Linked DNA regions of Caenorhabditis elegans. The protein of the gene in region 2 purifies or fractionates together with the protein of the main gene of each other region. This does not show direct contact. Each region holds a gene or a part of one and is shown on either strand. Other genes may lie near its edges. The genes, in order: unc-64 and dat-1.

Region 1 (16,210 bases), 4.0 Mb from region 2:
GTGAGGTGACGCGCGAGCGCGCTCTAATAATTATGAACACTCCAGGAGACCGTGATTGGATAACATTTTCATTCGAAAAACGAGAAAAAACAAGTAAGATCCCAACCGTGCCGTAGGGTTGCGTAATTACGTCCCCGCCTCTTTTTCTGTGCGACGTTGCTTATTGTAAAATTCACGGAGCAATTAATTTTTTTCAGACGTGTAGAGAAAATCGCGAAAAATCCGATCATGGTCGTCGTTCTTCCGCTCGGTCCTGGAAACTATCCGAACAATGAACGCATCACTGTTGTCTCTACATACAAGTCTCGTGTCAATAAGAATTGTAACGAAGCGAGAAGAGCACAACGGCATGGATCTTGGTCACGTAAAGGCATCGCATTCCCCGGGATTCCGACGAAGAAGTTCACGAAAAGCGATCTGGCAAAGTATGGCGCTCACGCGTCGAACTGGCCAGCTCAAGCTGCATTCAGGGTAATTATTAGTTTTCAGGAAAACTATTAAAATTTAAAAAAAAAAAGAGATAATTATTTTAAAATTCCCGCGCAAATAAATTACCTAATTTTGAGATTTTCGCGTTTTCCAGCTATATTAATAAAAATTCTCCATTTGTCAATTTTTAGACAGTGAGAAAACTGGCTACTCCGAAAGAAAATTAAAGTTCAAAGTTATATTTTTTGTGGAAAACTCTTTGGAAAATTGCCGAATGGAGCTTTACTTCATTTATACAAGAAAAACAAGGAATTTTGATTAATATAGCTGGAAAACGCGAAAAATCTTAAAATTAGGTAATTCATTTGCGCGGGAATTCAAAAATAATTATCTCCTTTATAAAAAAAAATTGAAAAATACACCAAAACACGCTCTCCTCAAAGCCGAATAATTATTAGAGCGCGCTTGCTGCGCTTCGCATTTCTGCATCCGCGGTATTTTGACTTTCCATTGAAAAAAGCAGATATTTCAGATTTATCGAATTTTTAGCTTTAAACATTTTTTTTCTGCATTTTTCGAACAAACCTTCTGTTAAACAGTGAAAATCGAATTTAAAATGACTAAAATGAACTTTTTTCGTCCACTGGTTATGAAATGGTTTGAATTTGAAAAAAACGGTGATTTTTCTTATTTTCTGATTATTTTTCTATTAAAAATCGGTTTTAATACATTTGTAACTTAACATTTGGGTCAAAAAATGGTTTAAAACCGATTTTTAATAGAAAAATATTTAGAAAATAAGAAAAATCCCGTTGATTTCTTCAAATTCAAACCATTTCACAACCAGTGGACGAAAAAAGTTCATTTTAGTCATTTTAAATTCGATTTTCACTGTTTAACAGAAGGTTTGTTCGTAAAATGCAGAAAAAAAATCTTAAAAGCAAAAAATTCGATAAATCTGAAATATCTGCTTTTTTTCAGTGGAAAGTCAAAATGCCGCGGATGCAAAAACGGGAAGCGCAGCAAGCGCGCTCTAATAATTATTTGGTTTCGAGGAGAGCGTGCAAAAATACCTTTTTCATCTATCTACAAAGCTAATTTTGGCGAATTCTCAATTAACTCTAACCAAATTTAAATTTTCAGCAAACCTTTTAAAAAAATTAATAAAAAATTTCTCGTATTTTTCAGAGCGAAGAAGGCAAAATATTGATTTACTACGAAGGATGGACGTGCCTCACTCTGCACCGATTATCAGTTGAAGAATGTGCAAGAACAGCGCCAACGATTCTAGAAGAAATGTCGATTCGAGACAAGTTCATCGAAACCGTGAAATCGGCCGCCGCAGAAGAAGCAAAGCTAGTCGTCGAGAAAAATCAAGAAAACGGAATCGAATTGACACTCGACGAGGCTCTGAAACAGATTTTCATCGAGCCCGTGCCACAGAGTAGTCCAGAAAATGTGTTCTGGATCTATCAGGATCTCAGCTACTTCCACACAATGGATAATAGGGATTTGGGATTGGCACCCGTTTTCTATATTTCGTCATACACTCAATCCGTTCGCCCACCGTGCTACGCGGTAAGTATCCGAATTTTTGGAGGCTTTTAAAAAAAAAACTGCGATTCAGTGGGGCTTTTGTCGAATTTCTATTTATTCTGAATTTTTTAGACGAAAAAGCCATTGAAAACCATTAAAAACCACTGTTTGAAGCACAGAAAATGAGTTTTTTGGATTTTTTTTGAATCCCAAAATCTATTTCCCCCAAAAAATAGCAACAAAAAAACAAATTTCTACTGTAGAAAATTGTTTTTTTTTTCTGGACAAACATAACTTTTTACTCTCGGAACTCGAAAAAATCCGAAATAAATTTTCTTTTTTTCAGTACACTGCAATCAACATCGTCGACGTGGACGCTTACAAAAGATGTCTTGAAAGCCGTGCTAATATGAGTTTCGCCGACTTGACCGGCCAGAAAATATGGATGCCCACGAGAAGTAAAGCGTGCGAGAATGGGACGAAGTGCAAATGCGACGCTAGGGTACGGCTGATGTTTCAAAAAGAAACTTACTGACGAGGTTGAAAGATCGATCCGTGAAGAGTCCCCACGAAAAGGGGAAAGGAGAACGAAATGGAAATCTGCGGAAAAGGGGATCTGGCACTGTGCCAAACGCGCAAAACGCAATTTTTCTCGATGATCCTTTGTGCGTTTGACACAGTGCCGGTTCCCCTTTTCGTGGGGCCTCTCCGTAAAAAACAGCGTAAAGAAAACCGTGCCGCAGGGTTGCAAAATTACGCTCCGCCTCGTTTTCCGTGTGATGCTCTTTTTCACGGATCTATTTCAACAGTACAACAAAAATTGTTCAGAAAACCCCAAATAAAAATTGAATTTTCAGTTCATGTTCCTCTACGATCCCCACGATGTCACCAATCTGGAGTGTACACCGGACGGGAAAGTTGACTTCACGGATTTCAAAATTGACAATGCTCGAATCGTGATGGAATGCTCGGACGCGTGTGGCTGCAGTCTGGATTGCCCACGAAGATCGCTTCAACGAGGACAGCAGCATCCACTCGCCGTCTACTATGAAGGGCCTGAAAAAGGGTTCGGCGTTCGTGCTGCTGCAAACATCAAGGCTGGAGAACTAGTGTGTGAATACACTGGAGACGTGACACTGCTGCCGACGTCGGATCCTGTCGCAAGTTCATCGACGAAAACGGATGATGGCGAGGAACAAGAGAATCCAGAGGCCCCGGAGAGAGTTGACTCATCGTACGATGCTGCGTTCAATGCGATGGATACTAAGATCATTATCAGTGCCAAGAAGACTGGGTTGGTAGTTCATAAAATTTCCGTCGTGGATGATTTTAATTTTTCCACAGACTTTAACACGAGATATGTGCCATTCGAAAATAATCACCAAGGGTGTCGGTTTTTCGATTTTTCGTTTTTTTTCCGAAAATCGAATAATTTCGTTTTTCGGTTTTTCAAAAATTAGCTTAAATTTTTGGCAATTATTCTTCTTTTCTGAAGAAATTTTAATGTTTTTTCTTATCAATATAAACAAAATTAGATGAAAAATCATGTTTTATGGTTGATTTTTGGAACATTTTTTAGATTTTTCGATTTTCATCGAAAAAATCGAAAAATGTGTGCCGGACGCTGAAAATTCAATTTTCGCTTTTACCGAAAAACGAAAATTGTTTTGATTTTGGACCAAAAAACGAAAAAAAAATCGTATTTTTGCTTCGTTTTCCCGATATTTCCATTTAAAAAAAATTGATTTTTCTTAAAGTTTTGGCCAATTTTCTTCTTTTGTAGAAGAAGTTTCTATTATTTCCATCACATTAAACAAAATTTGACTTTAAATTTACAAAATGACGGGGTTCTGGCTTTCCTCATTGAATTTTCGCGCTCCATTTACCATCGCCAGGCCGGACAACGCGTGGAAAAGTTTCGTGTACTCCACACGGACAAATAAATCAGTTTTACAACTAAAAACGAGCCGCGACACACAACGCGCCGTAAATCTACACAAAATCTCTCCGACCCAAAATGGCTAGTTCGGCAAACTCTGCCATTTCGATTTATGAGGGAAGCCAGAATTCCGTGCAAAATTTTATGGTAATTATTTTCGAAATATTGGAAAACGAAAAAATAAGTTATTTTAAATAACATTTTTGATATTTAGATTTATAAAAAATCGAAAAACCGATACCACAAATAATTTAATTTCTTCAAAAACCAAAAAAAAAAGTTTTTTGGTTTTTGTCCGAAAAACCAACGAAAAATCCAAAAATAAATGGGGAATACTCTCGAATGACAATTTCTCGTTTTGAAGTCTGATGGAAAAATGGAAGTCTTCCCCCTCTAGAGTAAACCAAAATCACGTTTTTTTTTGCAATAAAAAATTATTTCAGGAATATCTCCCGATTCATCAATCACAGCTGTGACCCCAGCTCGGTGTTCGTCGAAGTCTACAGTCGACGATTCGAAGAAGATCCACTGATTCCACGTGTTGCAGTATATGCCATCAAGGACATCGCTCTAGGAGAAGAGATAACGATTGCATACTACGAGCCCGGTATCGAGTGGAAACGGTCGAGTGTCAAATGCCGGTGAGCCTTCTATTGCTCAAAATATACTCAATATGATGAAAATTCTCAAAAATGTTCCAAAAAAAAAATTATGACGGTTCAATTTCTCTGAAAAACGGCTAATTTTAGCTAAAATCTCCAATTTCTTTCGTTTCGCAGTGACATGAAATTAACAAACATTCGAATCATAGTAAATCTATTAAATTAAGCAAGCTGTGATTAAAAACTGAATTCCCGCGTCAGTGTTGACAGATTTTCTGTAGAAATCGTATTTTATATTTTTTGATTCAAAAATTCTCAAGAAAAACACCAAAAACACTAAAGTGAAAGCAAAACTTTATTATCGAAATTTAAAATTAAGGTCTCATAGTGACAATCGTTTTGTTATTATCAACAAAATGATTACTCAAGCAAATACTTGTAGTGTTCTCTGGTGCAGTCTGTAACATAGTCTATTCCAATATTTTGGTTGCCGAATGTTCCGACATTGAGCATTGATTGCTGGAAAATTTTTCATGAATTAGATCATTAGGTAATATATTCAATAGAGACTTACCAAGACTTCTGGAATCATCCTCACTAGACTTTTGTTGAACAGTGTGCTTTCCTCGACACGCTTCTGATAAACGAAGAGAGTCAGGTAGTACGAGTGTGGAAGGATCGGAATCTTTCCAGTACAGACAAACGTAAACCGAACGTACTCGATGACGTCAACGTAGAACTGAACGAGTTCGTCCGCCAAACGTTTCGGCTCATCTTTGAGATATCCATTCTCGTCGGCTTCGGGGAAACAGTTTGGGGGTCCGTATTGCTCGGTGGTCACCTTCATTCGAATACATTGTGGGATGAAGTCGAGAAAGCGATCCTCGTAGCTCACAGATTCTGCTTCTTTTTTCAAAAAGTTGTAGCTCTTGATGAAGAAGGTCGGAATTCTCTGGTTAACGGCGTCCTCCTCCCCGTTAACCTCTATATGATTATCGATGAAGCGCTCGCATTCTTCATTAATTTTTCTCGCAAAGACGTGAATGTCCTTCTTCAGTTTGGCAATTTCTCGATCAGATTTCACCTTTGGCTTGGAAGGACTCGACATGGGAGTCGAGTCGGGTGAAGAGCATGGGGAGGTGGTGGAGTCAGTGTTGCACACAGATGACGAGGTTGACATGATGAAGAAAAAAGAAAATGAATGAATGAATATCATGTAGACATAGGCTCACGATTGTCTGAACGCGCCGTTTTTCCGATCGATTTCAGTGGAAACGCGGATATGTAGAGCTAGGCGTATGTGAACTTGGAACGCTGGGAAAATAGGTGACCCTATGCGATGAGAATGGGGTTTGGCTGGTGTTGTGGATAGCATTTAGCAATTTTTTTTTTGAAGACCGGGAAATTCCTATTGCTAAAAAATCTCAAAACCGGCAATTGCCGATATTTCCAATTGCCAGAAATTTTGAAAACCGGAAATTTCAATTCCGGCAATTTGCCGATTTGCCGGAAGTTTTCAACTCCACAATTTGCCGGAAATTTCAATCCCGGTAATTGGCCGATTTGCCGGAAGTTTTCAACTCCGGCAATTTTCCGGTAATTTCAATTCCAGCAGTTTGCCGGAAGTTTTCAATTCCGGCGATTTCGCCGATTTGCCAGAAATTTCAATCCCGGCAATTTGCCGATTTACCGGAAGTTTTCAACTCCGGCAATTTCGCCGATTTATCAGAAATTTCAATCCCGGCAATTTTCCGATATGCCGGAAGTTTTCAACTCCGGCAATTTCGCCGATTTGCCAGAAATTTCAATTCCGGCAATTTGCCAGAAATTTCAATTTCGGCAATTTGCCGATTTACCGGAAGTTTTCAACTCCACAATTTGCCGGTAATTTCAATTCCAGCAGTTTGCCGGAAGTTTTCGATTCCGGCAATTTCGCTGATTTGCCAGAAATTTCAATTCCGGCAATTTGCCAGAAATTTCAATTTCGGCAATTTGCCGATTTACCGGGAATTTCAATTCGATTTACCGGGAATTTCAATTCGAAAGTTTCCAACTCCGGCAATGTTCCGGTAATTTCAATTCCAGCAATTAACCCAAAATTTCAATCCCGGCAATTTTCCAGAAGTTTTCAATTCCGACAATTTCGTCGATTTGCCAGAAATTTCAATTCCGGCAATTTGCCGATTTGCCGAAAAAAATCGTTTGCCGCCCACTCCTGGAGTGAACTGGGATTTTCCTACAAAATATTTTCAAATTATTCTGAAATTCAGAAATATCAACAAACAAAAGAACTACGAAAAAATTTGACGAAGAATTGAAAAAAAAAGTCCAACTTTTTTTTGAAAATAATTTTTCAATTTTGAAATAATGGAATATTTTTTTCGCTATTTCCAGAGAAAATCAGAAAAAAATTGTACGAAAAAATATCTGAATTTGAAAAAAAAATTCTGGAAAGCTGAAAAATAATTTAAAAATTGTAAATTTTCAGGTGCAAATCGACCAAGTGCATGGGAACCCTTCCTGCATTCTGAAAGTTTCTCCCCTATACATCTTCATTCTTAATTCACTGTATGACAATTAACTTTTTAATCTTTTTTTCTGCTTTTTTCCCTGAAGATCTCCCCTTTTCTTCCGACTTTATTCATGTTTCCTCAATTGCACTCATTTCATTAATTTTTTTCATTTTTTTTTCCGCTCGAGTTTGTTATTTTTGCCCATTTTCTCTTTTTTGTAAAGTTTTTCATTTTTCTTTTTGAGATTTGAAAAGAAAATTGAATTTCCTGAAAATATCACTTTTCCCCCCAAACACACTCATTTCATTAACTTTTTTTTCCTTTTTTTTTCTTTTTTACAATTTTTCTGTTCTAAAAAATCATTTTTTGCTCATTTTTGTAAAGTTTCTATCCCCCTCAAACACACTCATTTCATTAACTTTTTTCTTTTTTACAATTTTTCCGTTCTAAACAATCATTTTTCCGCCCGAGTTATTTCAGGAATTTTCGTCCACTACATTTCATTAATTTTCCCTCAAGTCTTTCATTAACTTTTTTTCCCAATTTTCTTGTATTTTTTGCTCAATTTTTTCATTTTGGTTAAGTTTTTCTTTTCGTCGAGATTTGAAAAAATTTATAATACTTTCGCATAAAACAAAATAAAAATAATTAGGCCAGTGATGAGTATGACGCCGGTGACAAGGATGCAAATCTTCTTCTGAAATTTAGCTTTAGTAAGAAAATTGCACAAAAAAAATATCTCAAAGCGATTCAGAAATTCATTATTGTTATTATTATTGATTGATTAATTAATTTTTTGGTTGGTTGGTGGTGAGTGAACAGAAAACACATGAAATGGGTGGCAAAAAAAATTGAAAAAAAAATTAAAATTTCTTACAGTAAGAAATTGGAAGGATCCTAAAGTTTTGAAAATTTGTAGAAAAAACAATTTTTAATAAATATTTAAGCTTCCATTTTGAGATCGATATTATTCTAATTTTAAAAAATAATGAAATAATTTGTAATTTAAATTTAATTTTTATATTAAAAAGAACTATTGCTTGGTCGAAGAGAACGGGGGTGAGATTTACGTGTGAAAAGCGCGCGAAAAGTGGGTCAAAAGGCAGTGGAGATACAAAAACAGGATGTATTGCGAAATAATTAGGCTTTTTTTAAAAGAAAAATAATATTAATTTGTTCGGGAATTCGGGTACTTTTATGATAATAAATCAACAGTGATTTTTGCCCGGTCTCGACACGATAAGTGTTTTTGTTAAACGCGAAAAAGTATGCGCCTTTAAGATTACTGTATTACGGGAACAGAAATTTCTGAGAATGCGTATTCCGCAAAATATTTGACGCGCAAAATATCTCGTAGCGAAAACTACAGTAATCCTTTAAATGACTGTAGTTTGCGCTACGAGATATTTTGCGCGTCAAATATGATGCGCAATACGCATTCTCAGAATTTTGTGTTCCCGTAATAAGTTAAAAATTTTTTTCCTCGAAAAAACAAGTTTTAAACTACAGTAATCTTTAAAGGCGCAGCACATTTCTGTATGGCACGCAACTTTGTCGTGTTGGGACCCGGTACTGTATTTGACTTGCTTCGGCGCAAAAATCCAAGATTCGGTAATATAACCTTGACGCAAGCGCACTCCACGGCTAATTGAGAACGCTCCGCCCTGAAACCATGGGTCTCGTGAGGAAGTTGGCGCGGCAAATTCGAAAATTCAAACATTTTCAATTACTTTCTATTGCTTTTATTGATTTTTAAAAAAATTATTTTGACAGCAAAAATATTTAAAACAACGAAAAACTGGGTGAAAACGTTTGAATTTCCTGATGTTGCCGCGCTAAATACCTAACGAGACCCAATTTATAAAGGCGGGACGTTTGGCCGTGGAGCGGGTTTGCACTTTGATTTTTCAAATAGTATTTTCTCCAAAATAAGTTGATTAATTATGAAAAAAGTACCTGATTGAAAGAAACTAAATAATAAATAAATTAAATATTTTTGATAATAAAAGTTTGCTCTATTTAATCTAATGCTCTAATTACAAAGATATATTTAGCCCTTATTTTCAGAGAAAACAAGCGAATTTGGTTCATTATTGGAGCCGTTTTTGTTGTCATATAGAATTTGAAATTTTGAAATTTTTTTAGCGTGGGCGTTTAGACGGGGAAACAAATGGGCTTAAATGCCAGGAATATACTGAATGAGCCACAGAGAAACGAAGCCGATTAGGATGGTGACGACGATCAAAATGATGATCTTCTTCTGAAAATAATGGACAAATAGGTTAGAGAGAAACATTTATGGTTTACGACAAAAAATACGACGAAAAAAAAAACACATCACAGGACAATATATGACAATCACAATAAAAAATACAATCACAGGAGGTCCACGGTCTGCAAACACGCTCTGCTGAGAACTAACAACAAACTTTCCAAAAAATGCAAGAACACAAAATTCTGAGAATGCGTATTGCACAACATATTTGACGCGCAAAATATAACTACATCTCGTAGCGAAAACTTCTGACTACTGTGGTGTCGATTTACGAGCTCGATTTTAAACTGAAGAGATTTATCGATAGAATACTAATATTAAGCAAAAAAAAGACAGTAGTCATTTAGAGAATTACTGTAGTTTTCACTACGAGATATAGTTATATTTTGCGCGTCAAATATGTTGTGCAATACGCATTCTCAGAATTTTATGCTCCCGTAATACAAAGACTTGAGTGAGAGAGTGAGACAACACAAAGTAAGTTAAAACATAATAAATTAAAGCCCCCATATGAGAAATTGATTTGAAAAATTGAACTCAATTCCCGTCACCAATATTAATATTTTCCCCGAATTTTGAAAGCAAGAGGGTTTAAGAAAAAAAAAATCAATGACAATTTTTCAGCGAACACGAAAACGTTGAGAAGACGTGTTCGATGTGGAGGAGCTTGAGGTTTTTGAGGGTAACACAACAGAAGTTGAAGCATTCGCAACAATAACCCAAATGACGACAGCAATGACGATGACGAGAATAATGACAACAATTAACACAAATATATAGCATTTCATCTGGAACATTACAGATGTACACCACGAATCACTAATACAGTACAATAATCAATTTTTGAATCGATATTTTTTTGAAAAAAAAATGCGGCGGCAACTTGAAAAATGGTAGATCATATCATTATACTTTCTAATATTTCATAAACTTTCAAATTCATAAAAAAATGTTGCGCGTGAGGTATGATGTTTGAATCATTTCCTGCCCGACTTTTGTGCCAAAAATACGGTTCCTACTCACGGCCCGGCAAACTGTATGAGTACGCAATTTGTCTACCGTATACCTGGACGTTTGGGCGCATCTATCTCAAAAACGGGTGGTCCAATATTTTTGTGATGCATAAAAATGTCCGAAAATAGATTCGAATTTTTTTTTGGACCAAAAGCTTTTTTCGTTATCACGCGCCCAAACCTGGCTACACTCAAATTATCAGTAGAGCGCATTTGCATGGATGTACCACTTGCTTACCGGGCCGTGTTGGTCTTGACACGACAATTTTTTGTTGAATGCAAAACTGTTGTGCGAAAATAAAAAGTTTCCGAAAAACTATGAAAAGTCGATGAAAATAAAAATACTCTTTAAAGGCACACACCCGTTTGTATTAATAAATTTATAAAAATTCTCGTGTCTGGGAATTTTAGAACCCACATTTTCCCAGCTGCCAGACACATTTTCTATCAATTTTGATGAATAAAAAACTCAATATAGGTATATCCATGCAAAATAGAGTTACAATATTAAATTTTTCCAAAAACGTAAAAAACGAACCCTTCGCGCCTTCGACTGATATTGAACGGCTTTCTTCGTATCAGCTACTGCTCGATCAACAAATTCTTTCGCGTGCTCCACATTGTACTCAATTCGATCAACCATCTCTCCCTGGAAAAGCTCAGGATTTTTCTTTAATTATTTGAATTTCCTCCAAGCTGAGAATTACACGACCAATCAGGCGGGGTGGGCGGACTCGAAGACGCTGATTGGTTGGAAAGTACCTCTTCTATTTTACCTTAGACTAGACATTAAGAAATTTGTTAGAAAAAACCTATATTTTTTTTTGAAAATTCAACTTGTAATATCAAAAATTCCACAAACCTGAGATTCGACAAGCATAGCCATATCCATGAACATGTCGTGAAGCTCTCGAATTGAACTTTCCAATTTCATGATATCATTGTGACGAGCTTCAATATCGGCTAGCGTTTGTTTTGCCTAAAAAAATTATTTAACATTTTTTGGGTTTTTTTCCAGAATTTTTCTTGGAGAATTGGAAGGACGCCTCCCCGCGCTCAAGGTTAAGCGTAAGCGTAAGCTTACGCTTAAGTCTAAGCTTAAGCCTCAGACTAAGCCTAAGCCTAAGCCTGAGCCTAAGCTTAAGCCAAAAAAAAAAACGAATTTGGAATAACTTTTGTTAATATTTTCAATTTTTTGTTTCAAATTTTAAATTAGAAAAAAACAAACCTGTTGGGTATCTGTGATGATTCCTTGTGTAAATACTCCCGGATTTCCGCTCTCAATCATTTCCTCCAAATCCTCATCTCCGACTTGTTTTCCAGCTGAAAAAATATGTAATGGATTATTAGAATTTTGTGTGAATTTTTTTAAAAACTGATCCAAAATTTAGTGGCACAGAATGTCAGGAAAAATTTTGTCCTGCCCCAGTTAGGCCTACACGTCTGCCTGCCTACCTGCCTACGATACTTATAATTCGACTAGTCGGTGTGCCTGACAAAAATTTTTTTGAAGCGTCCGATGTTCTCTGGGTTCGTCTTGCGCTATGACAGGTATACATATATGTCGTAGGCGTAAGCCGCCTTGTAGGCAGGTAGCAGACATTGGGAGCACCATGATTCAGGTGTGCTCCAAAATTCTAGATTTTTTTACTTTAACAACTTTTGCTTCGCAAAATTTCCATAAAAATGTTTTAAAAAAAGCTCACCAATATCGAGTTGTCTCTGAATTCGTCCCTTACACCTCTCTCGATAATCAGTCTGTGTCTTATTATAATCAGTCATCACTTCGACGAATCGTCTCGATAATGTGCTGTGTTGAGTTTTTCGAATTCGAAGATCCGCATTTCCGGCTCCTTGCTCGTCGTGATCAATGGCATTTTCGATCAATTTCAGTTTGCCGCGCACTTTATTCGCAGCTCTTTTGATAACTGCCATCAACTCGTCGAGTTCTTCTTTGGTTTCTGAAATTGTGGCATATTTTTGGGGGTCTCAAAAAGTACAATATTTTGAACCTTGTTTTATCCATTCAACAATTTTTTAAAAAATTTATTTTCGAAATTTTTTTAACGAAACTGTTTTAAAAAAATTCAATCTAACTTTGTTTATTTTACTGAGAAAACACGCACAAAATTTTTCCTGAAAGAAAAAAAAGAGTCACAATTCAAAGCTAGTTTCCGAAAAAATCGAAACAATGAAAATTTTCTTTTTTTTAACTTTTTAAAATTGTTTTCCAGATCTTTTCTTGGAGAATTTAAAACGAAGCCTCGCCGAGCCTAAGCCTAAGCCTAACTCTAAAAGCCTAAGCCTTGGCCTGAGCCTAAGCCTAGTCCTAAACCTGAGCCTAAGCGTAAGCCTAACCTTGAGCCTAAGCCTAAGCCTAAGGCCAAGCCTAAAAAAATAATTTTTTAAAGAAAAAAAAAAGCCAACATTTACAGGTATTTTTTCGAAAGATCTGGAAAACGAAAATTTTCGATATTTTTATTTTTCTGAAAAATCAATTTTCTAAAAGTTCAGTTTTTTAAAACATACTCTGATCGTTAACTGGATTTGATAAAATTGCCGAATGCTTCTTCTTGACCTCTTCAACATTATTCGCAATAATATCCACACTTCCACGAATCTCTTCAACCTGCAAAAAAAATTCAACTAAAGTGTTTCCATTTTCATCAACCCCAAACATTTTTATTTCCACAGAGAGCTCCTAGAACAAAATTCCATAGAATCTATATATCTCTATGAATTGAAAAAAAGGTCGCCGTCGGTTGCGCAAAAACTATGAATATTCAATCGCCCCCTCATGGGAAACAGAGACACCCGAAATGACACATATATAAAAATCGAGGCAAATTGACAAAAGAGAGCAACAAAAAAAAAGATTGCGAAATATGGGGGGGACGTCACTGAAATACATCACAAAATTGAGTTTCATTTTTTCTTGTTTCTCAACTATTTGAACAGCTTGTGTGATTGGTCATAGAATTTGCGAACATTTTGGAATTTGTTTTGTTTTTCAAACTAGTAGAATTTTTTGAAAATTTGAGAAGTTCAAAATCCATTTCTAAAATATTTACAGTTTGGAAATCGCTTTGAGAATGCGTATTGCACAACATATCACGCATATATGACGCAACATATGACGCGCAAAATATCTCGTAACGAAAACTACAGTAATTCTTTAAATGATTACTGTAGCGCTGGTGTCGATTTACGTGCGCTATTTTCTTTAGTTTCACAAGTAAAAATTTTTTTAATGTTTCATCGATAAATTTCGAAACCGAGCCCGTAAATCTACACCAGTGCTACAGTAGTCTTTTAAAGACTTACTGTAGCCTTCGCTACGAGATATTTTGAGCGTCAAATATGTTGCTCAATACGCATTCTCAGAATGTTGTGTTCTCGTTATATAATAGTTCAAAATTATCAACTATTTTTAAAAATTTTCAGATATTGTGGAATTCAAAAAAAAACATTTCGAGAATTTCTTAACAAAATTCCAATCCAATTAATTGAAATAAAGTTGAAGTTTAAAAAAATCTGAGTTTAAAACATTTTTTTGGCCGACTTCAAATTATTAAAGTGGACTTGAATGAAAAAATTTACATGTATTTTTTCAAAAAGTTGAACCATAATTTTTGTTTATTTCGACACCAATTTTTCCACTACAGTACCTGCTCAAAAAACTCCTCCATATATTGTGCATTCCCGGTGTCCATGTGCATATCATCGTCCTGCTCATCCTCGGACTGCGCCGCTTTTAAAGCGGACAATCTAAAATTTGTGCATCATTATCTTGATTCAAGAATATTGACTCACCTGTCCTTAGTCATGTTGTTGTTCCTGTTGACAGGTCTCGACACGAAAAGTGGTTCCTATTGTTGGACTGTCAAAAAGTCATGTGAATGGAAAGAGACAAGAAAGAGATTTTGATGGAAAGTCTGGAAAAGGAAAAATGAGAATTTAAAAATCGAATTAAAAGTTTAAAAAGGAGAAATGGGAAAAATATACTTTAAATAGAAATTATCAGATTATTAAAACTTAAAAAAAATTATATAGAATGAAGATTGTTAAAAATTGCACAAAAAGTTCATACTAACAATTTTCAAAAAAAGGGGAATTTTTTTCGAGTGGTCAAAACCTGGTGTTAAAAATTTTGGAAGTCGACCAAAATTAATGTTTTTCTATTATTTTCGTACTTTAGTGTACGTTTTAATTCGGCAATTTACCAAAACTTTGACTGAAATTTTTTTTGAACAAACTAAAATATAGACTAGACTAGGCCTTTTTTGACGATACTACAACTTTAAACAAAAAACATTTATATTCGAAAAATGTACATTTGATGACCAAATTTCATATTATAGTAAAAAATTCGAAAAATTATAGTAAAAAATTCGAAAAAAATCTAAATTTTTTGATTTATTGGGAATTTGAAGATTACCAGTTTTTGCCACTTATCTGGAAGTTGTCGATATAAAAAGTGTTCCTTCGAATTTTATGATTTACTTATGTTTCAAATATAAATGGTCGGCAGTGCTATTTTCTAAAATAAAAGTGGCAAAAAGTCAGTAATTGCCACTTTTTGGCTGACAATAAAAATGCTCAAAATTTTTTTGAAAAGTTTAACTATGGCATTTGAACATGACAGTGTTGTAGTTTTTTTCAAAAAGTGGAAAAAAGTTTTGAAAAGTCAAAAAAAAAAATTAATTAGATTACCCGTATTTCCTTTTGCACTTTACGTTAAAATTTTATATTTTTGGTTACATATTTCAAATATATCAATTAATGTATAACAACAAAACAATAGAGAAAGAGATGACAAATATTTTCTCAGTTGACAATTTTTTGTACAGGACAGAGGGTAACTGAAGTAAGTTTCAAGTCTAAAAAAAGAAATAAAAACGTGGTTACTTGTATATAAACTGAAAAGATAATAGGGCAGAATAGAGAATTCAAAGAAAAAAAAAGGAAAAGAGCAAAAAATAAGTGAGGCGGAGGGGAGTGGACGCGGGGGGAGCAGCACCGAATAGAAGGCGTTGTGTGTCTCGGGGAGCCGTTTTAGGAGCAAACTGAGTGACGAGAGAGAGAGAGAGAGAGAGTAGAAGAGATGAGGGGGAAAAGCTCGTCTTCTTCCCGGTGAAAGAGAGAGAGAGAGAGAGAGAGAGACCACATCTGTTCGATATATATGGGAAAAGCACGAGAGAGAGAAAAGGAAGAGCCAAAACGATGAAAGGAGAGGCGACGAGACAGTTAGACGTCTCACACACACACACACTCTCTCTCCATTTTCATGCTTTTGCGTGTCAAGGGGCGGGACTCTTTACCCCTATTTTTTTTCGCGGGTTTTCTCTGCGACTCTTTTTTTTATCCCACCATTTTTTAAGGAGTGAGACGGAGCAGAGAGGTGAATGATTTGGTGGGATTAGGGATCTGATCAGGGCAGTGGGGGAAGTTGTTAAAAACGACTCCTATGGTGCCAAAATGATTAAATTTCATAGTAAAAAAATTCGAATTTTTTTTTGAAAATTTCTTATTTAGTCAAAAAGTGGCAATTTCTGTTTTTTGCCACTCTTTGTTTTTTTTTTAATTTTAAAGGTGGAGTAGCGCCAGTGGCTCCTATGGTACAAAACTGAACAAATTTCATGTTTGAATATTAATATTTAGAACATAAATAGACCATAAAATTCGAAGGAATTTTTGTTTAAATTTCTGATCGACGACTTCCAAAAAAGTGGCAAAAACTGGTAATCTTCCAAATTTCAAAAATCATAAAACTTTTTGAAAATGGCATTTGGCCATCATAAACTGATGCTGTATATTTTTTTAAAGTTAAATATTTTTAGTTTAAAGTTGTAGTACTTCCAAACTGAATATTAAAATAAAAAAAGCCCAAAAATGTATAGTTA
Region 2 (14,572 bases):
TCACGAGGGACGAGGAAAAGTGGTTTCTAGGCCATGGCTGAGGGGCCGACAAGTTTCAGCGGCCATTTATCTTGCTTTGTTTTCCGCCTGTTTTCTTTTGTTTTTCACAGCTTTTTCCCGGTTTTTTCTTATTAAAACTGATAAATAAATACTTTTTGCAGATGCTAAAACAATTTCCAAGTAAAAAAATTATGTATTCAGTGGGCAAGCAGCGGTGAAAGTGGTCAATGCAATATGATGGATTACGGGAATACAAAACCTAAACTTTTTCTGAAACATGATACATACGATGCTTAGATGCTGATTTTCATAACGAGACCGCTGAAAAAGTTTTGAGGTTTTCAAAATTCAACTTTTTGTGCGAAAATCTCGACTTTTTCACCAAAAAAGTTGAATTTCGGAAACCTCAAAACTTTTTCAGCGGTCTCGTTTATGAATCAGGTAGTCTCAGCATTTAAGCAGCATATGTATCATGTTTCAGAAAAAGTTTAGGTTTTGTATTCCCGTAATCCATCATATTACAATGCCCACTTTCACCGCTGCTTGCCCACTGAATACATGATTTTTTTACTTGGAAATTGTTTTAGCATCTGCAAAAAATATTTATTTATCAGTTTTATTAAGAAAAAATGAAAAAAATCGATGAAAAACAAAAGAAAACAGGCGGAAAACAAAGCAAGATAATGGCCGCTGAAACTTGTCGGCCCCTCGGCCATGACCTAGAAACCACTTTTCCTCGTCCCTCGTGAGGAAAAAGTTGCAGTGAGGTGACCGCTAAAAAAATGTAAATATTGATAAGGACATAATAAAGTTAAAGCGACAAAGAAAAAACAAGGAAAATATGATTCAAAACGTATATTCTCTAATCGGAACAATACAATAGCGTCAACAATATGACACATTTATTGAAAATAGAAAATCCAAAAAGAAAATTGAATCAAAACTCTGCTTGGAGCGTAATACAACAATCCAAGAGAGAATAAATGATCTTTCAACTAGCTTATCAGTTTCAAATTCAATACAACCCATCAGTCTATTTCTATCAGAGAGTGACCAACGTTACTGATAAATAGAATACGACTGTTTTGGCTTGAAAAGTCTGTTAGATTGTTTCAAATGAAGTGTCAAAAGAACCAATAAAGCATGGTCAGTGAGTGTTGATCGGCAAAAAATGGAGCTGAAGTGTAAGTAAACTTCAAAGTCATGTGGGTGTAAAAAAGAAGGAATTCGAATTTCAACGGACCGGAAAACATCGATATGTGCCATTTTCATTTTTTTTATTTCCTGGTTTTCGTTCAATTTTATGCTTTAGGCTGCTGAGTCCCACAAAAACACTTTTTTTGTAGAAAAGAATGCAACAATAATTTGTGCGAAGATTGCATGGAAGAAAGGAAAAAAAGCAACACAAAAAATAGAAGAGGAATGCAAGGCAGTTGCCGTCAACTTGACGGGCGGGAGGGAAAATGCAAGAACGACAGGGCAGGAGGGTCTTGAAATGGCACTTTGTGTATATATTAGAAACGGGGAATTCTGGAGGAGGAGAAGCACAAAATGAGCACAGGAAGGAAGGAGAGAACAGAGCAAGACGAGTCTTTCAAAGGAGAAGAGGGCCTAATTTCAATGAGCTGCGCTTGGTCAAAGACTTCTCGAAAATCAATGCAGACAGAGGGAAAGAGAGAGAGAGAGAGAGCGAGTGAAGAACAGGTGCTAGGCTTCATATCTAGAGCTGATAGTGTGAACTTATGTTTTCAGTGATGCATTTGAAAAATTCATACACAATTTCAGTTTTTTTTGAGTCTCTAAATTATTTTTTCCAGATTCTAACCAATATTTTAAATAAAACTGAGTTTTTCCACAATAATAATTAAAACACTACAGACCTCTACAGAAAACTACAATCAAGTGATCATAATAGGATCATGCTCCCCCACAAATTAGATGAACACAGAGCACAAAAATAAGAAAAACAGCTATCCAGACAGGCAGACATATCGGTCACACGAAGGGACAAAGAAGGGAAGAAAAGTATTCGTGAGCACAAACAACAACCCATCACTTTGTTTGTGCAAAATAAAGACCTAGTGAAACTGCTTCCACGAAAGCGACTGCCGTCTTGAATTGCGAAGGACCCACCCGCGGCGGTTCTCATTGTTTTTTGGAGCAACTAGAATTCGAAATGAACGGAACCGAAGATGAAAATAATAATTTGAAAAGATCGATGAGAAAGAGGGTTTTCCATCGCGGCTTTGAGACAGACAGCGATCATTGAAAATGGATATTTGTAGTGCAAACTCCTTGCGCGCCAACACAACAGCTAGCGTGGTGAACAAATCGGAGGAGTGTGTGAAATGTTTTGGAAATATTCAGAGACATATTGATGTTTATAAATTTGATTATTTCTCGAGCGCTAGAGAAAATCTTGATTTCAGAAATGATGCTGGTTGACACAAACGCCAAATGGCAACAGCTGAACTCTACTGGAAAAAAGCCTAGCTATGACGCAAATGGTTTTCAAGAATATCCAGGTACGCTTCGAGAGATATCACCATGGCATGCTCATATTATAGGTTAAGAACAAAGACGGCCTTTCTGAATATGACATGAGGAAGAGGAGGAGAAAATTTTATATACACTCAATAAATCAGATTTATACTAATTTAGTCCGTTCAAACTAAACATTTTTATTCTAGACAGCTTCACATCAGCAGATATAAGAAGTAAAAAATTTGAAACAATTTAAATAGGTATAATCAGAATCAATGTCTTGACTCACTATTACGCTAACATAGGAATTAAATATTACTCCGACGCAAAATTTCCGTAATTTTGCGTTAAAAATACGGTATCCGGTCTCGGCACGAAATATGTTGTTAAATACAAGAATGTGCGCGCCTTTAAAGAGTACCGTTCTTTTAGCGTAAGAAACGCAAGATTTCGAGTATGGACAATATCAAAACTGGATGACAAATTAAAGAATGATCGCTTTCGTTTTCGAAGAACAGATTTTTAAACTTTTTTCACAACTTTAATACTATTTGACAAAGATAGAATCGAAAATACGCAACACGGAAGAATATAACAAATGACACAAAAACAGAACCGTCGAACTGATTACTGTGTGATTGATTGGTTTAGTGCGAACAAGTGTTTGTCCAAATGTTCCAACCGGATCGCCGATTTGTCTCTTTCCTCTCACCACGAAATAGAAAAACAAACATTAGGTTTATCAAAACTGACCAATGTCTTTGATCTTATCAAGCTACTACTCTCAATCTACCACCTTCGGAGAAAAGTGAACATAGGAAATGGAAGAAGAGGGAGCATGGACATCATAACTAGTAGAGAAAAAAGCGAAACAAAAACCACAAACTCTGTGCGATGGGCAAAACCAACGGAGAAGTGAGTTGAGAGAAGGCAGGGAGAGCGTGTCAGGGAGAGAGTATGAGGAAAACATGCCGCCTGGAGAGTCGCAGAGAGTGCTGCGTCTTTTCTGCGTCTATCCAAAAGACGATAGTATTTTCCAGCCAGCTAGCATGACTGCCACTTTTATTTCCTCTTCTCTTTTTTCTACGTAGTCACCCATATACACTCAAATCTTAAAATTTAAATTTTCAGCACTGAAAATGTTCGAACGGCAAACTGGAAATGGGAATGGCAACAAAATGAATATGAGGATAGTGATTCTCGATGAATTGTTGAGCAGAGAAATGGATGGAAGCAACGATGGATCGTCAGCAAGAGTTAGTTCTTTTTAAAAATTGTGAACAGTGTTGGATGATGCATTATGACAATCAACTGATTTAATTTAAACATTGCCCTGCAAAAAGTGTGAATTTTAATCGAGTTTTTTGTGGAGGATGAAAAAGAGTTAAATTTTGCTAAAAAAGCAACAAAAAACTCACACCGGAAAAAGAAATTGGGAAAATTTCAGGTAAATTCATTGAAGCACGTGATAAAAAGGAACAAAATGGATATGGCAGACGATGCACCATCTTCGTTGGATCTAATGAGACGGGTATGGACTGTTAATGTTTCAAGTAATTAAAATGAAAATTATTCAGATTTTCCAAGCGGAAATATCGAGAGAAATCCATCAGATTATGGAGAGGCATACTAGAACAACGCTATTACCAGCTATCGAAAATCTCCGCAAAAATGGGCATGTTGTTGACGAATCAGTTTTGAATGGTTTGTACTGTAACATTTTGGAGGCTGCAAAGAAGCCATATCAAAAAGATCCGGAGCCTATGCCACCGATTTGTACAAATGGAAATGGGTTCCTTGATATCAACAGTCAAGAACATGAGAATAATTTAAAGGTAATTCAAATCTCAAATCGAATAAAGAATGAAAAACTATATTTTTCAATTCTAGAAAATATCTGGAAAATTTTCGCCGACTGTTTTCAAAAAAGGACCTTTCAAAACTATTTTAATAGATACAACGGAAGTAATTAAAGCAAATTTTGGCGACGATTTCAAAACTTTAATCACTACGGCGTGGTTAAAAAATACAAAACAAAGTATATCAAAAATGCTGATATTTTCAGAGAGGATACGAATCGGATAGCTCAGACGTGTCTGGAGTCAGCCACTGCTCCGATGCTAAAAGACGACGAGGTCGTCCACGTAAAGATGAAGAAGCATATCGACTAGAAATGACGCCACCGACAATGAACGAAGTCATTCGGTGGAATCCGGACAGAATCGATGTGAACACCCGTTTTATAACGGCGACAAAAATTGCGCAAGTGATGGGAATGCCCCCGTCGATTCTGTTCAACAAGTATCCACGAATGTTTAGAGTAAGTAACTGGAAATCGGCAATTTTCAAAAACTGTTCTACCGTTTTAGTATTCCTGCGATGAAGATGACAAAAATATTCTACATGAGCAAAATCTTCTCATCAGGGCACCCGGTAGATGCTATCTTCTGGTTGCAGAAGATGCTCGTCAGCTAGTTCCCTCCACTTACTTGTAAGTTTTTTCTACAAATTTAAAAGAGAAAACCAAAGAAAAATATAAAGGAAATGATTATCCTACTCCAACAAAACTCTCCGAAAAATAATTATTGCTCTAAATCGCATCGCGCTTCGCCGAGCAGCACTTCCCTCACCTACCGATCAAAAATAACAGATTACAACGAAACAGGTAGAAAAGAAGTAGAAAATATCTAGAAATGAGAGAAAAATTGGTTGATAATAAAAAAAAGTCCGTAAAAAGATAGCAATTAAAATTAGAGCGATTGTCCACGAGAAAATTGTGAGAATATTCAGAGAGTTCTATAAATTTTTGAAAATTTAGCATTTTTATTTCAGCCAAGATGTCCTCAACGTCTCATTCCTCATCTCCGAGCCACTGCTATCAAAAATTCGCCAAAAAGCGGCATCAACCTACGAGAAGTACAAAGTCTTTCTGCCCACACAACCGAATAATTATCTCTGAAATGTTTCTAGTCGTTTTTGTATTTTAAAGCACATTCCCAATTCTGAATACTTTTCTGAAATCCATGAAATGGAACTTGAATCCAGTTTTCACTAAAACGACCTCATACACTTTCTCTCGTATCCTCAAAATATCTATGACATTATCATTAGCTTCGCTAGTTTCATTTCTTTCAAATATTATGCATTCTTAAATTCCGATACCCGCGTGCAAAAGTGCTCTATTGAGCAACTTTGGGATCATATGTACACACCAATGCCCTTTTCCCAAATCTTTTCCTGTCCTTTTCTCTAAAAACAATAAATCCATGCCTATTCCAGTATGACCCCTTTGAAGCAGATATAATCGCACAAACATATACACATAGCTCGGATAAATGTAGAAAAAGAAGAAAAGAAGTATAAGTAGATAGATGCTTTCCGGCAATTATCCACCGCACCGTAGTCTTCACCAACTGAGACTGCGTCGTTAGGAGACGCCGACATGATTCAGAAGCAGAATTTGGAAGAAAAACGACGATGATATTGAGGCTGGCACACATACACCGGAATATTCGACATGCCACCACATCTAGATTCCAAGGCAATCTCTACCTCTTCCCATTCTTTCGGTTTTTTTGTTCTGACAAGAAAAGTGGATAGCTACGGGCTCAATGAGCTGATTTTATTTTTAAATATCTTAAAACTATACTAGATTCATGTGTTTTCAGGTCCATATTCCAAATTAGTCGAAAAGCTGATCCCGCTACGGTTTACTCGAATCTCAACAATTTTTAGCCATGCAGTTGGTGCCTACAGGTATTTCGTTTTTTGCCCGACTCTTATTTATCTGTAGACTTTCGTTATAAAACAAAGCTATCTTTCTGAAATTGTTATTACGTAGACGCCTCAAGATGAGAATCTTCGCCAAATCTTACGCACATGGGTCTCGCCACGCAAACAAAGAATATGATACAATAGCGGTCTGCAAATTGACATGAGTTACAGTAATTCGTTCTCCGCGTGGCGAGACCCGCGGCTAAAGTTCTCATCCTTAGAGACCAACGTAACACTCTGGGTATAGTATAACTTACCATTAAAATTTTTTTTTAAGTTTTATAATTCTTCACAGGGTTTAACATTAGATTAAAAATTAGTCGGTGACTTCTAACTAAAGTTAAAATCAAATCTTCAGACGATCCCGACGAAAAAATCGGTCGGACGTCTAATGGCATGCAAAATGCAACTCTTCCTATTGATGGACCAGTTAATACAGAACCCAAAGATCCAGCAAGAGAACAGTGGTCTGGAAAGGTAAGATCCATCTTGCCTGTAATTCTACATATGAACCCATCTTTTCAGCTGGACTTCCTTCTCTCAGTTGTCGGGTTTGCTGTAGATTTGGGAAATATATGGCGATTTCCATATCTTTGCTTCAAAAATGGAGGAGGAGTATTTCTGATTCCTTATTCTATAATGGTCCTGTTGACAGGAGTTCCACTATTCTACATGGAGTTGTGCCTCGGCCAGTATTATAGAAAAGGAGCAATCACAACTTGGGGAAGAATATGTCCGTTGTTCAAAGGAATCGGATATTGTGTTATTTTAACCGCATTCTATGTGGATTTCTTTTATAATGTGATCCTTGCCTGGGGGCTTCATTATTTATATACTTCATTCAGGTGAGGACAAAATATGCTTATTTTAGGTATTATAAAGACATAGTAAAACCAAATAATTTTTAAATCTTATAAATTTTTACCGCCATAATTTGGAAAACTATTGCAATTAATGTCAAAAATCTTGTCTAAGTCTACCAAAAATGACTAAAGTTCTACAAAGCCTCTGGTAAAATTTCAAGAAAAAAATTACAGTTTTTTTAAAACTTGATACTAATTATTTTTAGATATCTATTCGGATATCTTGCCAATGCTATACCAGAAAAATTTTAAAAACCACCATTCCTTTTAATTTTGCCATATTCACTTTATTTTCAGTTTTAACCTGCCATGGGCATCCTGTAACAACAGTTATAACTCTCCTGCTTGTTACGAACCACACTGGTCAGAAGACGGAACAGCAATGTGTCGAAGTGCAAATCAATCTGTCTCAGCTGAAAAGATTTCAGCTGCTGAAGAATACTTTTAGTAATTTCTAAACTTTTTTGATAATTTCTAAAAAAAATATATATGTTTCAGTAAGGGATTTCTGGGGCTCCATGAAGCAAATGCACCGAACTCTCACGTTATTCGAAGTGTCACCGATCTGGGAAATGTACGTTGGGACATTGCTGTAAGTATACAAAAATTAATGAATGAAATTTGAAAATTCTAATTTAAAGCTTTCCCTCTTCGTTGTGTATCTCATTTGCTACTTTTCAATGTGGAAAGGAATCCATACTTCTGGAAAAGTTGTCTGGTTTACTGCTCTATTTCCATATGTTGTACTGGGAATTCTATTCATTCGTGGAGTGACTCTACCCGGATGGCAAAACGGAATCGAATATTATCTTCGACCCAACTTTGAAATGCTCAAGGTTTCGAGTTTCAGATAGAAAAATTCAAATTTCAAGCTTTGTAGAGACCATCGGTCTGGCAAGATGCTGCCACGCAAGTATTTTTCTCATTAGGGCCAGGATTCGGAGTTCTCATGGCATACTCGTCATATAATGATTTCCATAATAATGTATATGTGTAAGTTTTGGAATTTTTGAATTACAATTTTTTTGAAATTTTTACAGGGATGCTCTTTTCACATCATTCATCAATTGTGCAACATCATTTCTCTCAGGGTTTGTGATTTTCTCCGTACTCGGCTACATGTCCTGCAAATCTGGAAAACCAATTGAAGCAGTTGCTCAAGAAGGCCCTGGACTAGTATTTGTAGTCTATCCAGAAGCACTCTCAACAATGCCATATGCTCCATTCTGGTCTGTGCTCTTTTTCTTAATGCTCATGACACTTGGCCTTGATTCTTCAGTAAGTCTGAATCGTAAGAAAACCTATAGCAGATTATTTTAGTTCGGAGGATCTGAAGCTATCATCACCGGCCTTTCAGATGAATTTCCAATATTGAAAAAGAACAGAGAAGTGTTCGTTGGTTGTTTGTTTGCTTTTTACATGGTAATTGGAATTGCTATGTGTACAGAGGTAACCTTTTCACCGAAAACTATCTTCATCAAAAATTTTTGAAGGGTGGAATTCTAATCATGGAATGGCTCATCATCTATGGAACTACATGGGGCTTATTGATTGCAGTGTTCTGTGAAGCAATGGTCATTGCATACATCTACGGTAGGTGTGCTCTGAATCTCAAAATTTCCAAAATTTCACAGGTCTGCGACAATTTGTTCATGACGTCAAAGAGATGATGGGATTCCGCCCGGGAAATTATTGGAAGTTTTGCTGGAGCTGTGCCGCACCATTCATTTTATTGGTAAGAGTCTGGTTTTTGGCGCCAACTGCGTTGGCCCAAACTTTTCAAGTGTCGTTTTGAATTTGCACCAGAACTTGACAAAAAATGGATCACACTTGATTCAAACTTGGCGCTTTTAACAACATTTGCACTCACAAACTTTTTATTAAAAAATAAATTTTACATCTTTTCCAATAGGAAGGTGTGGCAATTTTCTATATGTAGCGGAAAAAGTATTTACAACATCATCCAACATGACCAAATTACCAATATTCCAGTCGATGATCACTTCCAACTTCATCAATTATCAAGCCTTGACCTACCAGGACTACACATACCCAACCGCGGCAAACGTTATAGGAATTATTTTTGCGCTCTCAGGCGCCTCATTTATTCCATTGGTAGGAATCTACAAATTCGTCAATGCGAGGGGGAACACGATATCTGAGGTCAGTGATTAAAACAATAATTGGGTTGAGATCAGGTTCGAACTGTATTAGTCATATACCTAAAATCTGTGAATTCGATTTCGGAATATGCCATATGTTATAAGTTGGATTTTTTAAAATTTATTGGTAATGTCAACCATTCCGAGCAGAAATCAGTCTCGAAAGCGTAGGATAGAATGAAATAGTTAGATATGAAGCACTGTTTTGGTCTTACTTTCTGGCAAAATTTTGCAACTCTCTCCCAGAATTTTGAAAATTTCTGCAAAAAAAATTTCAGCGTACTGACAAAGCTGTCTACCAAATTTCTGCAACGTTTTGCAACTAAACTCCAAAACAAAGTTGACAACGAACACCGTTCTCTCAATTGGAACATTTTAATACTAAAATATATTAACTAATACATTTCAAACACACTTAAAGCTTGTGTATTTTTTTTTCAGAAATGGCAACGAGTCACAATGCCTTATCGAAAAAGGCCGAATCAAACAGAATATATTCCAATTCCAACCACTCAACCGCACTCTGACATAATGCTATGAACATAGGTGTCTTCCACTTTCATTATCCTAGTTTCACTCGTTTACACTTTCATATTACACCACCACTTTCCTTCCTTTAGTTCTCTCTGATATCCTCTTCTGTTCCTTTTCTCTTTGATCTTTTTTTTTTCATCTCTATTTACACTTTTAAATATTTATCTTTTCTCTTTTTTCTAAATTTCATTTACAATAAAGTTACCCGCCTAATAAAGTTCTCTAAAACTACATCCCAAACAACTTAACTTGGAAAAAAGATGTACAGTAACCGGTTATTCCGTGTTTTGTCGTTCTTTTTTCAGACATCTCATTACACCTCAAACCCGCTATTCTAGTTGTAATTGTCTGACATTTTGCCCATTAAGATTTTGATTGAAACGTTGGCACGGTCCTAGGAATCATTGGTTCTTTGTAAAGATCAAAGATATCGAGAAAAATTTCACATTCGGTAGGTAAAGACTTCCAGTTTTAGTGTAATTATTTGTTTGCTACATTAACAAAACATTTCAAAAAAGAAAATCATATTAGTTTTTTTAAATTTGAAGTATTATAAGGAAATCGCTTTGACAGACATTTGAAATTCTCCGCAAAATGTTTGCAAAGCCCTGGCTAAAACTTGGTAACTTATTCAAGCTGTTATTGCAAACTGGCCCTTGAAATAAATTTGCCAAAATTAGTCATGAAGTTGCCTTAAATGATGATTTATTAAGTCAATCTTAACAAATTCCCAATATTCAATCACATTTTTTGTGTGACATTTTATTACCCATCTCATCTCGTTGACCCTTCTCTCATCTCTCCATCTGTCTATCTTATTCCAGGTGTTCTTTCTCTAGTCATTTCCCGCATTTGTTGCTCTGCACACTGACCAACCTGTCTGTGTTCTTCTTTCCCTCCCCTCTTCTCCTTTCGTTCTTACCTTCCGTTCAATGTGAATAATCAATTGTTCTAGGGTCCGGAACCAAAAAAAAAACAAATAATCGGTTTAGTACAAAAACTGATTTTATATAATTTGATTCAATTAGAAGATTTTCCTATAGATTAGTAAATCATCATTTCTGGTTATTACGATGCGTGACGAAGATTTTTGCTGTGCGGTTTGCTTGGATTTTTTTGTGGAGGTAAGTGCTTACTGTTTTTTTCTTAAACAATTAGAGTAGCACCGGAAGAAAATTAACAAAAATCATTTGAACGGTGCGGAGATTGCCTAAAGCTTCTCAAATATTGCTTGGAATGTTTCAGTCGGAATTTCGCCACTCAAAATTTTGAGTCGACCAAAATAAGTTTTTTTCCACGAATTTTGTATGTTATTTAATTATGTCTCAAATATACGTATTTGAACATTTTTTGGGCTTTAACATGCAATAATTATCTAAATTTCTTAAAAATCCTAATTTTCGAGAGTCTGGCAATCTACCAAAACCTTGACTGGAAATTTCAAGAAAGTATATTACATGTTCCAGCCTTGCATAATAGAATGTGGTCATTCTTATTGTCGATTTTGTATCGAAAGTCACCTGAATATCAATGAAAAGTGCCCACTGTGCAGAGCTCATACTGGAAATCCAATCAGAAATCGGTAAGTCGAAGACCATTTTCTTATAATAAATTATTATTTCAGACAACTCGAGTCATTAACAATGAGCTATGTGAGTTCTCGAAATATATCCACTGAATATTATGAACGAATGAAATCTTATCAAAAGAAACTATTGCTTCAAAATCGAGCACTTGTAATTATTTGGACTGAGTTGAATAAAAGGCCAGGACATTCTACGGAACTATGTAATCTAGTACGGGTGAGTTAACAAAATTAATGCTTTTTTCATAAAAGTTAAAAGTTTTACCATAAATTCAGAATGTACAAGATGAAGAACTGAAATCGGAGATTATGTGGCAAGTAAAGCAACAAGTTGGAGTAGGATTAGAACACACTGGAGACCTCCAAGAGGAGAACGTAACAATTCGATTAAAAAATTCTTCAAGTCAACAATAACCAAATCTGTATTTTTATGTAAATATTTGAATGAAATATTTGTACATTTATATCCATTGTCCACTTTTTGTTTACCAATCACCTACTCATCAATTTTTGTATGCACAAGGTTAGATAATTTACACTGATGATCTTAAAGTCCAGAGAGAATAGCTGTTAGAAAAAGACCTATTAAAATATAAAATCAGACTTGCGTTGAATGATTCTCGAATGTAATATTAACTTTGCTTGGCTTTTTATAATTTTAAAAGTCGATAAAACCGAAACAACAATACCAGTAATGAAAGAATCGTATGAACATATGAAATATACAAGACGCAAAATTGAAATATTGAGGAAAATAAAAAGTTACTTATACACTTATTCACTTAACTTCCTTCTAGACTGCCATATATCTTATCGTGAACTTGTACTTGGTTTGAAAAACTTAATTACTAGAACAAAAATTAAACTTCGTTCACTTAGAATTTGTAAAAAACGCCCCATATTTAGTCAAGGAGTTTGATATTTAATTGAAAATCTGTTTCAAATAGGTTCCAAATAATAAATCTTGGGGTTTTTATTCAAACCTTGAATTCAAGACTTTTTTCAATATTTTCAATGAGATCTGAGTCATTTGAAATTACAATCAAATGCGTAATAGTTGGAGATATCACATGAAAACTTGTCACGGTGCGCCGAGTTGTCATGGCATTATGCATAGCATAAGATAAAATGTTTATTTATTCTCAAAAGGTTATTCCATCCTGCTTCACAGACTGATTTTGAATTTTTGAAAAAATAGCGCTATTGAGTATTTTTCTCGAAATTCACATTCCTCAATCCCGCCGAAAACTTGACACTTCATAATTAATACATGAGCTTTAAATTTCCCGAAATACTTGAGTTTCCACACGAAAATAGTTCAAAACTAAACGTAAAAATTGAAAATACAAATAGGAAAAGTTCTGGTATAGAAAAACCCACGGAGCTCTTCCATTGCATGAATAAACATTTTCATTACCAAAAAGTGGGCGAGACATTGCATGCATACTGCATATTCAATGTGTATCCACAAAGCCCATATTAATTTATGTTCTTTTTTACATTTTTTGTCGTTTCGTCATATATTTTTGTTTCATTTTCAGAAAAGAAAAATCGGAAATGTTTTACAGAAACTGGGAGTCCTTTTAGGAAATTGCCGAATGTCATCATATCATATATTTTTTTTCTCATCAACTTTTCTTGGAAATCATTTGTATCATCTGACCTCGGACATGTTCCAATCTGGTCACCTTATCATTCACATTTCTTACCTCATCTCATTTGTATTCCTCATTTTGCTCTTAATTTTCAAGCCAAGAAATAGTGAATAAACAAATAAATAAATTCATTTGCCCCATTTTTGTAGTAGGTTTAATTTGCGTTCTGAACTTTAAAATCACCCCGTGATTTCGGCTTAAACATACAATTTTGCGGGCAATAAAAAATCAACTGTAGTTAGGTGAAATTAAAGTTTTAACTCCCTCAGCGTATTTTAATTTTTCTGGCTTCTCTGGTTCTCACGCTTCAGTAAAATAAAGTTTAGAATAACTCGAAAACAATTCAAAATTAAAAAAAAAACAAAATGTTGTGTAAGAACTGTTAATCAATGATTTTAATCGTTATTATTACTTTAAAAAATATTAAAAAAATTGTGAACGCGGTTACTAACTTTTCTTAACACATCTAAATTGTTTCATTAAAGAAACAATTTTATTTGAAATGCTACCGTATTTGTCTGAATGTAAACAATTGAAAATAATAATCATTTGAGTATTGTGTTCACCTCACTACTAGAATTTACTTCCCGAACACCAGTTAAAATTTTCACCTTATTTTCAGACTCGGGCGTAAATTTGTTTTTGAAATTAAATGTAGTGAGATAATTTGCTTGAAATCATTTTAAGAAAATATTTTTTTGGTCATACTTAGTTGAGAATTTGGTAAAACTTTGATTAAACGTTACAGAAGCCTGAAAGTCGAGCAGGAAGTTGGCTGTAAATGACAATCTGGAAACAATATTCTTCGACTTAAAACTGAATAGTTTCAAAAATGACTGAGGCAAAAAACTAATTTCTGTAAGAAGAACAAGCTTCACCCTATACTCTAACCATTCCCTTTTTATCGAACAAATAATATTCGCATCTGCTCATTGCATGCAGGTGTCCTTTTTCCCTTCTCTGTCTATTCCTCTCATACCAACCGACAGAATCGTTAACCAAACCAGCCTTTCTCTTTCATTCTTCATTTTTGGTACCAATAATTTGATTTGTATTCACATTTTGTCTTTTTCTATATTTCACTTTACAGTAGATCACGGGTGTACTATAATTCTTGTTAAAATAATAATTTTCAGAAAACCCTCAATTGTTTCTTCAAATTGTTTTTAAAAACTCTTTTGCTTACCAGAGTATTTTATTCATATTTTCCAATTCCAGGAGGACCACAAAAATATGCCATGGTGTCATCCAAGATTTGCGCCGATAGTCTACATACTCTTCTTCTACGCGTTGTACATGCTTCTTGTATTGCCAATCACAGAACTGTTGGAATTTGTTCTCAGAGCATTTTTGGGCATTGAATCTAGAAGTCACTCTCAATGGTCACGTTGGATTTACGGATTTTGTTTGTTGACATTTCTTCCATGCTATGCAACAGTGTTCTTTATTAGTTGGAGAAAACATCGAGCGAAACCCTTGTTCACACCAAAATGGAAAAACAGGCATGCTTTTGAA

The links.
Region 1: the proteins of dat-1 (region 2) and unc-64 purify together in Caenorhabditis elegans (affinity purification with western blotting, with the first as the bait; one study listed by BioGRID). This does not show direct contact.

Annotation. Positions count from the first base shown.
Region 1 is NC_003281.10:13,275,293-13,291,502, reverse strand, and holds unc-64 (Syntaxin-1A homolog), read right to left. Parts: upstream 14,245-16,210; 5' UTR 14,135-14,244; coding exon 14,121-14,134; intron 14,076-14,120; coding exon 13,976-14,075; intron 12,937-13,975; coding exon 12,837-12,936; intron 12,269-12,836; coding exon 12,014-12,268; intron 11,631-12,013; coding exon 11,536-11,630; intron 11,287-11,535; coding exon 11,170-11,286; intron 10,957-11,169; coding exon 10,846-10,956; intron 9,280-10,845; coding exon of another isoform or gene 9,196-9,279; exon of another isoform or gene 9,163-9,195; intron 7,717-9,162; coding exon 7,633-7,716; 3' UTR 7,616-7,632; downstream 1-7,615. Other genes in the region: F56A8.8 (NR LBD domain-containing protein), read right to left, coding at 4,927-5,025, 5,081-5,686; Histone-lysine N-methyltransferase set-25, read left to right, coding at 198-471, 1,618-2,007, 2,312-2,467, 2,823-3,259, 4,348-4,545, 6,995-7,037. UniProt on the Caenorhabditis elegans protein: Plays a critical role in several secretory processes, including cuticle secretion and neurotransmitter release, and probably assists in neuronal membrane maturation or the final stages of neuronal differentiation.
Region 2 is NC_003281.10:9,236,754-9,251,325, forward strand, and holds dat-1 (Sodium-dependent dopamine transporter), read left to right. Parts: upstream 1-6,221; coding exon 6,222-6,240; intron 6,241-6,616; coding exon 6,617-6,735; intron 6,736-6,783; coding exon 6,784-7,103; intron 7,104-7,418; coding exon 7,419-7,568; intron 7,569-7,619; coding exon 7,620-7,713; intron 7,714-7,762; coding exon 7,763-7,957; intron 7,958-8,001; coding exon 8,002-8,114; intron 8,115-8,161; coding exon 8,162-8,399; intron 8,400-8,441; coding exon 8,442-8,570; intron 8,571-8,614; coding exon 8,615-8,714; intron 8,715-8,755; coding exon 8,756-8,856; intron 8,857-9,113; coding exon 9,114-9,284; intron 9,285-9,724; coding exon 9,725-9,823; 3' UTR 9,824-10,049; downstream 10,050-14,572. Other genes in the region: saeg-2 (Suppressor of activated egl-4 protein 2), read left to right, coding at 3,669-3,740, 3,932-4,015, 4,062-4,319, 4,550-4,804, 4,854-4,975, 5,317-5,443; putative RING finger protein T02C1.1, read left to right, coding at 10,891-10,941, 11,284-11,399, 11,442-11,619, 11,679-11,816; T02C1.2 (RING-type E3 ubiquitin transferase), read left to right, coding at 14,291-14,559. UniProt on the Caenorhabditis elegans protein: Dopamine transporter. Terminates the action of dopamine by its high affinity sodium-dependent reuptake into presynaptic terminals. Plays a role in the learned avoidance behavior of animals exposed to food that induces mitochondrial stress.